Saccharomyces cerevisiae S288C: one gene and its partner. The protein of the gene in region 1 interacts with the protein of each later gene in a pairwise test. Each region holds a gene or a part of one and is shown in the gene's direction. Other genes may lie near its edges.

Region 1 (5,414 bases):
ACCAGACTTTGGATTCTTTCTGGGTGGATCCGCCGTATTATTTCGACGAATTTGTGTATGAATCTTATCGTGCAAATCATGCGCAGTTATTTGTTAATGGAGACGTAGAAGGTTTACTAGACCCAAGGAAGTCAAAGAATATAAAAGAGTTCATAAATGATGATGACACTCCAATTGCGAAACCTTTAAGCTGGGTGTGCCAAGAGATTCTAAAGCTTTGTAAGGATTAGGAAAGCGCCACAAAATCGATGAGAAGTATAAAAAAAAAAAAGTAAAAACAATAAAAATAAGAATGTGTACCTCGATAGATAACTTAAATAAGACAATTTCAGAACCACAATATTGATAACACCATCCCGATTTTTGAAATTATTTTTTTGGTGTAAATGAGAGAGGAGGGGAGTGAATTAGAAATGGAAAAAGGCTTCCTTAAATGGAAACCAGTCAACTTGATGAAGAAAATATTGTCTTTACCAATGAAAAAAACTAAAAACGATATAGGTTTGAGATTAGATATATCATATATTTTAGTTAATCTAATAGTCTGCTCATACCCGGTAAACACGTATCCAAAACTGCTTTATAGGAATAGCTTGGATGACTTAATATTGTTTCTAACAGTGTACCATGGCAAGGGAAATTTTAGAATTTTTAATTTTAGAGGTGAGAAAGAAGACAGCGATTATAAAGATAATGATCTTATTGGTATCGCTGCCAAGTTTGAGAGCAAAGATTTTGAAATTCAAGAATTACGTTCGACGCTGATTAATGATGGAAAGATACCAATATCACCCATTGATCTCGAAACAAGGACCTTGGTCGAAGAAGAAACCAATAATGTAATTTGTGAAAGGATCGGTTGGCTAGATCATTTTCCACCGCCATTTGAACTGCTGGAAGAGATTGTAGATGGTATAGAAAATTACCTGTCCGTTTCGAAGAATAGAGTGGCTGTTTTACATTGTCGAATGGGGAAAGGCCGATCTGGTATGATAACAGTAGCATACCTCATGAAATACTTGCAGTGTCCTCTTGGAGAAGCAAGATTGATATTCATGCAGGCTAGATTCAAGTATGGTATGACGAATGGCGTCACCATACCCTCTCAATTAAGATACTTAAGGTACCATGAGTTTTTTATTACCCATGAAAAAGCAGCCCAAGAAGGAATTTCTAATGAGGCGGTAAAATTCAAATTTAAATTCAGGCTTGCTAAAATGACGTTCCTCCGCCCATCAAGCTTAATCACTTCCGAGTCTGCTATTGTAACTACTAAGATTCAACACTACAACGATGATAGAAATGCCCTCCTAACCCGAAAAGTAGTATATTCAGATATCATGGCGCATGAATGCGGTGGTAATATGACCTTCATTTTTGGTAGGGACTACTTAACACTGGAAAATGATTGTCGTATAGAATTTACCCTGGGGACCAGCAAGTCCAAAGCCGCCAGTAGCATAATATCTTGGACTTCATGCGCCAGCTGTTGGCTGAATATATACCTTGAGACTTTGATGCACATAATTAAAGACGATTCTTCGCCAGATTACTTTCAAGTAGAGAGGTTAAAGAGAGACGAAATGCTTGGGACAACCATAAGCTGGCAAGAGCTGGACGGTTTTGGGGAGCTCAGCACTCACGGCTTGAAATTATTTCAGGCACTGAAATTGGAATGGGAAATTATATAGGTTTATGCATTTCGTCAAATCCATTCATTCGTTAAACTTAGTTAAAAGTGTTATATTTATTGTGAATTGGTTTGTTTTGGTAGGCTTTTTTCTATATTATGTATTCTTTTCCTTTTCTTCAATATTCTTGTATGGTACTTTAATTTACTGGCAGGTATTTTTTGGAGCGGTCAATTATATGAATCAAAACGCCATTCTAGAAACAGGAAGAAATATATGAGAACCAAGGAGTAGGTTGAAAGGCATTGTAGAGAAATTTTATTAGTATTTATAGCCGAAGAAGAAGGTTAAGTGACAAATTTTCATTTATAAGCCTCGCTAAAATGAATGCTAGTGGAAGATCTCATTCCAAAGGCCCCATTATAAGGTCTGTGTCTTTAGAAGATCTTAAGAGAAACTCTAGTTTCAAAGGCAATCTAAAGTACAAAGATGAAGTCACTTCACATAAAGAACCACAGGTCGGAACATTGAGCAACGAAGAACTGCTAAAAGATTTGGACAACATGTTGCGCGGTAAACTGAACATGGGAAGAAACAGTTTTCATGCCGATAAAAGAAATAAATCAGATGGAAATATCAGTGCCTTAACCTTCAAGGCAAGATCAGGTCTTGAGGGAGATATTCGTACCATAGATATACAGCAAGATAGTAGTGATGAAAATGATAATTTTAAGTTCAGTGATGATGGCGTTAATAAGGATAGAAATAATGAGAAAGATAATAATACTGATAACGCCGTTGAATTTCAAGACGATGCTGAAGAAGCTGAAGAGGAGAATGAGGATGAATCATTTGCTAATGTAGATGAACTGGATGGCTTTGATTTGAATAAGGTTTCTGATGGCAAGCATGTTCCTATCAATGAAAAGGGCGAAGTTGATTATAATATGCCGGTAGATAAAGAATTTCAGAAATCACTTGACCAGTGCGCAGCTTCACTTGAGGAAAGATCAAGTGCACCTTATGCTTTACAAAGAGCAGTGGACTGGGAATTGAAGATGTTTTATTCTTTGGAAGATGAACTGTCGGAATGGTTTTGCAGCTCTGATTATATGCATTTTGGACAGACACAGACTCTGTTTAAACAGAAAATTACGCAACCACAATTATTCTTTGATGATGAAAACTATGCTGCGAGCGTAGTTGAATGTTTAATTGAAGACATCCCCAATTCTTTAGCATCTAATTTACTCGCATTATCATATATTTCTATGGGATGCTTTGCGTTTACGAATAGCAAAAGTGAGCATACAAAGATTATACGACGCAACAATTTAATGCTTGTTCCTCATATTCAAGAAATTGTTCATGCCTTCAAGAAGATTGCAATAAGTTGTAGGGATGACAACAGAAATTTAAAGAAACAAACAATTTTGCTATTTCATTCGTCAACAATCCTATACTTCATATGCAGTATTTGTATAGAAGGTAGAGGAGAAAATCCGGAAGCAGTAAATGTTGTTATCGACGCTTTTGAGAAAACAGATTTGTTGGAATTTTTAACAAAGTATATTGAAAATTGGAGGTGGAATAGCAGATTAGCTATGCGCATAAGAAATATGATTTCTTTGCTCTTCAAGCTTATTGTATTACAATTTGGTGACAGTTCTGTCTACAAACAGACCAAATCATCTATTTATAATCTCCATGGCTTAACATATCCATCAAAGCATCCAGAAAAGCTTTCTATCTCCCCATTACATTATCAAGCATTCAGGGAGGACATTACTTCCCGTTTTCCTGATTACAATATGCCCAGTTCTGGCTTACCTAAAGATGTTGACAAATCAGAATCTCTTTCCCAGTTTCTGGAAATTCCTCGTCCAAAATCAAAGAATCCTCTAAATATGGCGCTCATTGTTCCTGAAAAACATATTGCTACACCTGCTCCTTCACCGCCAAGCTCTCCACAATTAATGCATTTAGGTGAAGGTCCTAGACCTCGTAAATCTTTCCAAACAAACATGGCATATCCGTGTTTGTATCCATCTGATAATGAAGGATCTGAAGATGACACTCTGGAAGATAGGATAGATTTAAATATAGAGAGAAAACCTGATAACGATATAGTTATTCCATTCAGTACCGAAGAGGCAGCGAGAATATTAAGCGAGAGTTTAGAAATTAAGCTGAGTACAAAACAACTTTGGTACGAAAGGGACTTATTCATGATAACTGAACGTGGTTGGAAACAGCAATTAGAAAATGAGCCATATGATTATGCCGCGCTTAATCATGATGCAAACTCTTCAAAAGAGGAAAAAAGTGCGATTTGCATTATGCAGCGAATTGACAAATATTATAAGAGCTGCCTTTCGAGCTTTAACTCTCTTGTTTTTGTCTTACTGCAAACAATGGAATCAAGCTTGACAAATAACTTTCATAGGAAAAGTGAAGTCTCCGATAAAAATCTTCTAAATATGCTGACACCCCAATTGGAGATCGTGAGAGCTAAGGAATTGTCCCTAAAGTCAGCAGCGGGCATATTACATGCGTTATTGAAGTGGTTTAAGTTAAGCCATATTTTGAAATTTGAACACTTGGCGGTAGTTATTCACGATTCGCGATACATCAACACATGCGCATCTATTTTAAGCAAATATTCTGAGGTTTATCCAGAGAGGGTTTTCAATAAATATGTACAAACCCCGAATTCATTTTGGAAGGAGTGTTCTCTCTCTAACGAGTCTTATCGTGAATCCTATTCAGTAGATGACTCAGGAGAGGTCGACACGGAGATTATGCCTTCGTTTGCATATCTGTTAAGAATCTTGAGAAAAGTCACAGGGAATAAAACACAAAGGTTAAAGGAGCTGCCCCTCTCCATCGGCATTCTATTTAAACGCTATTATCGGCTCTTCAACCTTGACATGTATCATCCAATATTGAAAATAACAAGAGAACTCACACCATTCAAAAACAAGAGGTGGAAATCCGAGCATATGGAATTGATATCGGGGGTTTACCTTTATGAAAAGCTGGAGTTAACTGATAATTGGGTAACAGGGAAGGATATATCAGGAGAGTTGAGCGATGCTTGTGGTCAAGAAATTGCACTCCGGGCCTTGCTTCAATTTTACAATTTTCAACACTATGAAATATCTATGGAGGACCTTGGATATGGACACCGTAATAGTTCCAGCCAAGATCTGTTAAACAAGGAATCCGAGTATTTGAATATTTAAATCTCTACTTACGGATACCGAGGCTCGGGGCGCGATGTTATTGTCATTAACAATCTCCTATCCCTCCCTATGTTTATATAGTTTTCAATGGAGGAGCATGAAAACCCCTTAAATAGTGTTTATTTGATCGCGCAATGGTGATGATTGGATCTTCATATCACAAGTGGGATACTAGGACAACCGTTGTTGGATTTCTATTATCATAATATATACGGGTAACGATTTTTGATGCGTCGCGTTTGTAAACAAAACTAAACAAAACAAACAAATATACTCATTTGATGGCTTCATCTGCATATAAGAAATAGAAGAGCCAGAATACTAAGCATAACCATAATATATATTACAGTCTATTTCAGTTGTAGCTGAAAAATCAATATGGAACTAGAGCCCACTCTTTTTGGTATAATAGAGGCATTGGCTCCTCAATTATTGTCGCAGAGTCATTTGCAGACATTTGTATCTGATGTAGTCAATTTACTGCGATCATCCACCAAATCGGCAACTCAATTAGGCCCTTTAATTGATTTTTACAAAT
Region 2 (4,027 bases), on another chromosome or scaffold:
TTTCTCCACTTGAAGAGGAAAAGCTAATTGACGAAAACGCTACAGAAAACGGATTAGCGGGATCACCTAAAGACGAAGACGGAATCATAATGACTAACAAGCGAGGAAACCAACCTGTTAGTACTTTCCTACGCACCCCCGAAAAGAACATCGGTGCTCAAAAGCATGTTAAGAAGTTTTCGGACTTCGTAAGTCTGCAAAAAATGGGTGAAGGTGCATATGGTAAGGTCAACCTATGTATTCATAAGAAGAATAGGTATATTGTGGTGATTAAGATGATTTTTAAAGAAAGAATCCTTGTAGATACATGGGTTAGAGATAGGAAATTAGGCACTATACCTTCTGAGATCCAAATTATGGCCACGTTGAACAAAAAACCACATGAGAATATTTTACGGTTACTGGATTTTTTTGAAGACGACGATTACTATTATATCGAAACTCCCGTACATGGTGAAACAGGATGTATAGATCTTTTCGATCTAATTGAATTTAAAACCAACATGACCGAATTTGAAGCAAAATTGATATTCAAGCAGGTTGTAGCGGGAATAAAACATCTACACGACCAGGGTATTGTTCACAGAGATATCAAGGATGAGAATGTTATCGTAGATTCTAAAGGCTTTGTTAAGATTATTGATTTTGGATCTGCTGCGTATGTCAAAAGCGGACCATTTGATGTTTTTGTTGGGACAATAGATTATGCTGCCCCTGAAGTCTTAGGAGGAAACCCTTATGAGGGCCAACCACAGGATATTTGGGCTATTGGTATTCTATTGTATACGGTGGTCTTCAAAGAAAACCCCTTCTACAATATAGATGAAATATTAGAAGGCGACCTGAAATTCAATAATGCAGAGGAAGTTAGTGAAGATTGCATTGAGTTAATCAAGAGTATTTTGAACCGTTGCGTACCGAAGAGACCCACCATTGACGACATAAATAACGACAAATGGTTGGTTATTTGAAGGATTAATGATCATTCTAGGACATTAGTAATTGGAAAAGAAAATGCAAAAAAATATCCAGTAGAAACAATGCTTGGTATGTCGTTCTTCTTACTTTCTTCAGTAATGAGTTGGTAGTTTTCTCTATTTAAATATGAATAAATCAATATGTACTTTCTTTCTTTAATCAAAATGTTAATATGATAAAAATACAGCATCCAAAGCAGTTAATCAAGACTTAAATATAAAAAATTTACATATTTAGAAAACAAAGATAGGGTAAATATTGAAATTACATAGTAAACCATACCTTAAAAGCAGAAATACTGATACCACATGAACTATTGATCAATACTACTGCTATTCTCTTCCTAATGCAAAGAGCTTATTACCATTATTAAATCACTACAGACGATAATACCCGGAATGCCCTTTTTGCAGGGAAAGCGAAAAAGGTGAAAGAGTTAACAGGAGAAAGTGTTAGGGAACTAAGTTACGAAGGAAGGCAGATAGCAACAATACTAACGTGGAACTTATTTCGACGACTATAACAACTGGTATCTGATTATCGAAGAATAATTGAGTGGTCAGAAAGGAGCGAAATATGTCTGGAGCAAGATCAACAACGGCAGGTGCCGTGCCCTCGGCAGCAACAACATCAACAACATCAACAACGTCAAACTCTAAGGACTCAGACTCTAACGAGTCATTATATCCCTTGGCTCTGCTTATGGATGAGTTAAAACATGATGATATTGCTAATAGGGTAGAAGCCATGAAAAAACTAGATACCATCGCGTTGGCACTCGGTCCCGAAAGAACAAGAAACGAGTTGATTCCCTTTTTAACGGAAGTTGCACAAGATGATGAAGATGAGGTGTTTGCCGTTTTAGCCGAACAGTTAGGAAAATTTGTCCCCTACATTGGCGGTCCTCAATACGCCACAATCCTATTACCAGTTTTGGAAATTTTGGCATCTGCAGAAGAAACTTTGGTTAGAGAAAAGGCCGTAGATTCTCTGAATAACGTGGCCCAAGAACTTTCTCAAGAACAATTATTTAGTGACTTCGTCCCTTTAATTGAACATTTAGCTACTGCAGATTGGTTTTCTTCAAAAGTTTCTGCTTGTGGTCTTTTCAAGTCTGTTATTGTTAGAATCAAAGATGATTCATTGAGAAAGAATATCCTGGCTTTATACTTACAACTCGCTCAAGATGATACTCCAATGGTGAAAAGGGCCGTCGGTAAAAACCTGCCCATCTTGATCGATCTGTTGACTCAAAATTTGGGATTATCTACAGACGAAGATTGGGATTACATTTCTAACATTTTCCAGAAAATCATTAACGATAATCAAGATTCTGTCAAGTTTCTGGCAGTTGATTGTTTAATTTCCATCTTGAAATTTTTTAACGCTAAAGGTGATGAGTCTCACACTCAAGATTTATTGAACTCTGCTGTCAAATTAATTGGTGACGAAGCGTGGAGGGTACGTTACATGGCTGCCGATAGATTTTCAGATTTAGCCTCGCAATTCAGTTCCAACCAAGCATATATCGATGAATTAGTACAACCATTTTTGAACCTTTGTGAGGACAACGAGGGAGATGTTAGGGAAGCTGTGGCTAAACAAGTTTCTGGGTTTGCCAAGTTCCTAAATGATCCTTCAATTATATTGAATAAGATCTTACCTGCTGTGCAGAATTTGAGTATGGACGAAAGTGAAACAGTGAGATCTGCTTTGGCTTCTAAGATTACAAATATTGTATTACTGTTGAATAAAGATCAAGTCATTAACAATTTTCTTCCGATTTTACTGAATATGCTAAGAGATGAGTTCCCTGACGTTCGTTTAAATATCATTGCCAGCTTGAAGGTTGTCAATGACGTAATAGGAATTGAGCTGCTATCAGACTCTTTGTTACCTGCCATAACAGAATTAGCCAAGGACGTGAATTGGAGAGTTAGAATGGCTATAATTGAGTACATACCTATCTTGGCAGAACAATTAGGTATGCAATTTTTTGACCAACAGTTAAGCGATTTATGTCTTTCATGGTTGTGGGATACTGTTTATTCTATCAGAGAAGCCGCAGTGAATAATTTAAAAAGGTTAACGGAAATATTTGGCTCTGATTGGTGTCGTGATGAAATTATTTCAAGACTGCTCAAATTTGATCTACAATTACTGGAAAATTTTGTCTCGAGGTTCACAATACTCTCTGCTCTAACCACTTTGGTGCCCGTGGTATCGTTAGATGTCGTTACTGAGCAACTATTACCATTCATTTCTCACTTGGCTGATGACGGTGTTCCAAATATTAGGTTTAATGTGGCCAAATCCTACGCTGTGATAGTGAAGGTTTTAATTAAGGACGAGGCCAAATATGATGCATTAATTAAGAACACAATTTTACCCTCATTGCAAACGCTGTGTCAAGACGAAGATGTTGATGTAAAATACTTCGCTAAGAAAAGTTTGGCAGAATGTCAAGAACTTTTAAAAAATTGATACTAGTTCAAATATATACATACATACACATATGTACACTTGAATGAATAAAAAGTATACATATTAACAACTAGGCCTGCTTTCTTTTCTTTTCTTTTTTTTTTTTTTTACCACACTTAGTCCTCTACTTTAACAGAAATATCATTTTCCAGTTTGACCATAGTTTCTTCAACTGTTTTCTCCTCGTGTTTAACATTGATTTCCGCCTCCACGTTCAGTTCACGTTTTCCTTCCAGGTATTTCACCCACTTTGGATAACTCATGATATTTTGCTGGATTTCCTTGTACAATTGAGACTGCAAATCCCAATCTAAGGAGCTTCTGGGATCATCCGGTGGCAAGAATTGTAACATGTCACCAAGGTTCCTCGATTTAGTGATTATTTGTCCAAATCCAACCAGCAACCCATTTATTTCTGTCCAAAGCCCCTTAGGCAGCCAATTTTGTAATTGAGTTCTTGTCTGATCTGGAGTCTTGCATTTCTGCGCATCTACCCATTTCCAAAGCTTGGTCAATCTATCCACGTGAACGTCAACGCAGATACCTTCAATCTTGCCCCATGCCT

The links. Proteins that work in one complex are often made in the same cells at the same time.
Region 2: the proteins of FAR11 (region 1) and TPD3 interact in binary tests that used the Saccharomyces cerevisiae proteins (3 or more experiments, as listed by UniProt).

The regions. Positions count from the first base shown.
Region 1 is NC_001146.8:381,973-387,386, forward strand, and holds FAR11 (Far11p), read left to right. Parts: upstream 1-2,014; coding exon 2,015-4,876; downstream 4,877-5,414. Other genes in the region: NRK1 (ribosylnicotinamide kinase), read left to right, coding at 1-230; TEP1 (putative phosphatidylinositol-3,4,5-trisphosphate 3-phosphatase), read left to right, coding at 387-1,691; SPC98 (Spc98p), read left to right, coding at 5,255-5,414. UniProt on the Saccharomyces cerevisiae protein: Participates in the control of the reentry into the cell cycle following pheromone treatment.
Region 2 is NC_001133.9:123,325-127,351, forward strand, and holds TPD3 (protein phosphatase 2A structural subunit TPD3), read left to right. Parts: upstream 1-1,554; coding exon 1,555-3,462; downstream 3,463-4,027. Other genes in the region: serine/threonine protein kinase PSK1, read left to right, coding at 1-971; bifunctional N-glycosylase/AP lyase NTG1, read right to left, coding at 3,579-4,027. UniProt on the Saccharomyces cerevisiae protein: Phosphatase 2A affects a variety of biological processes in the cell such as transcription, cell cycle progression and cellular morphogenesis, and provides an initial identification of critical substrates for this phosphatase.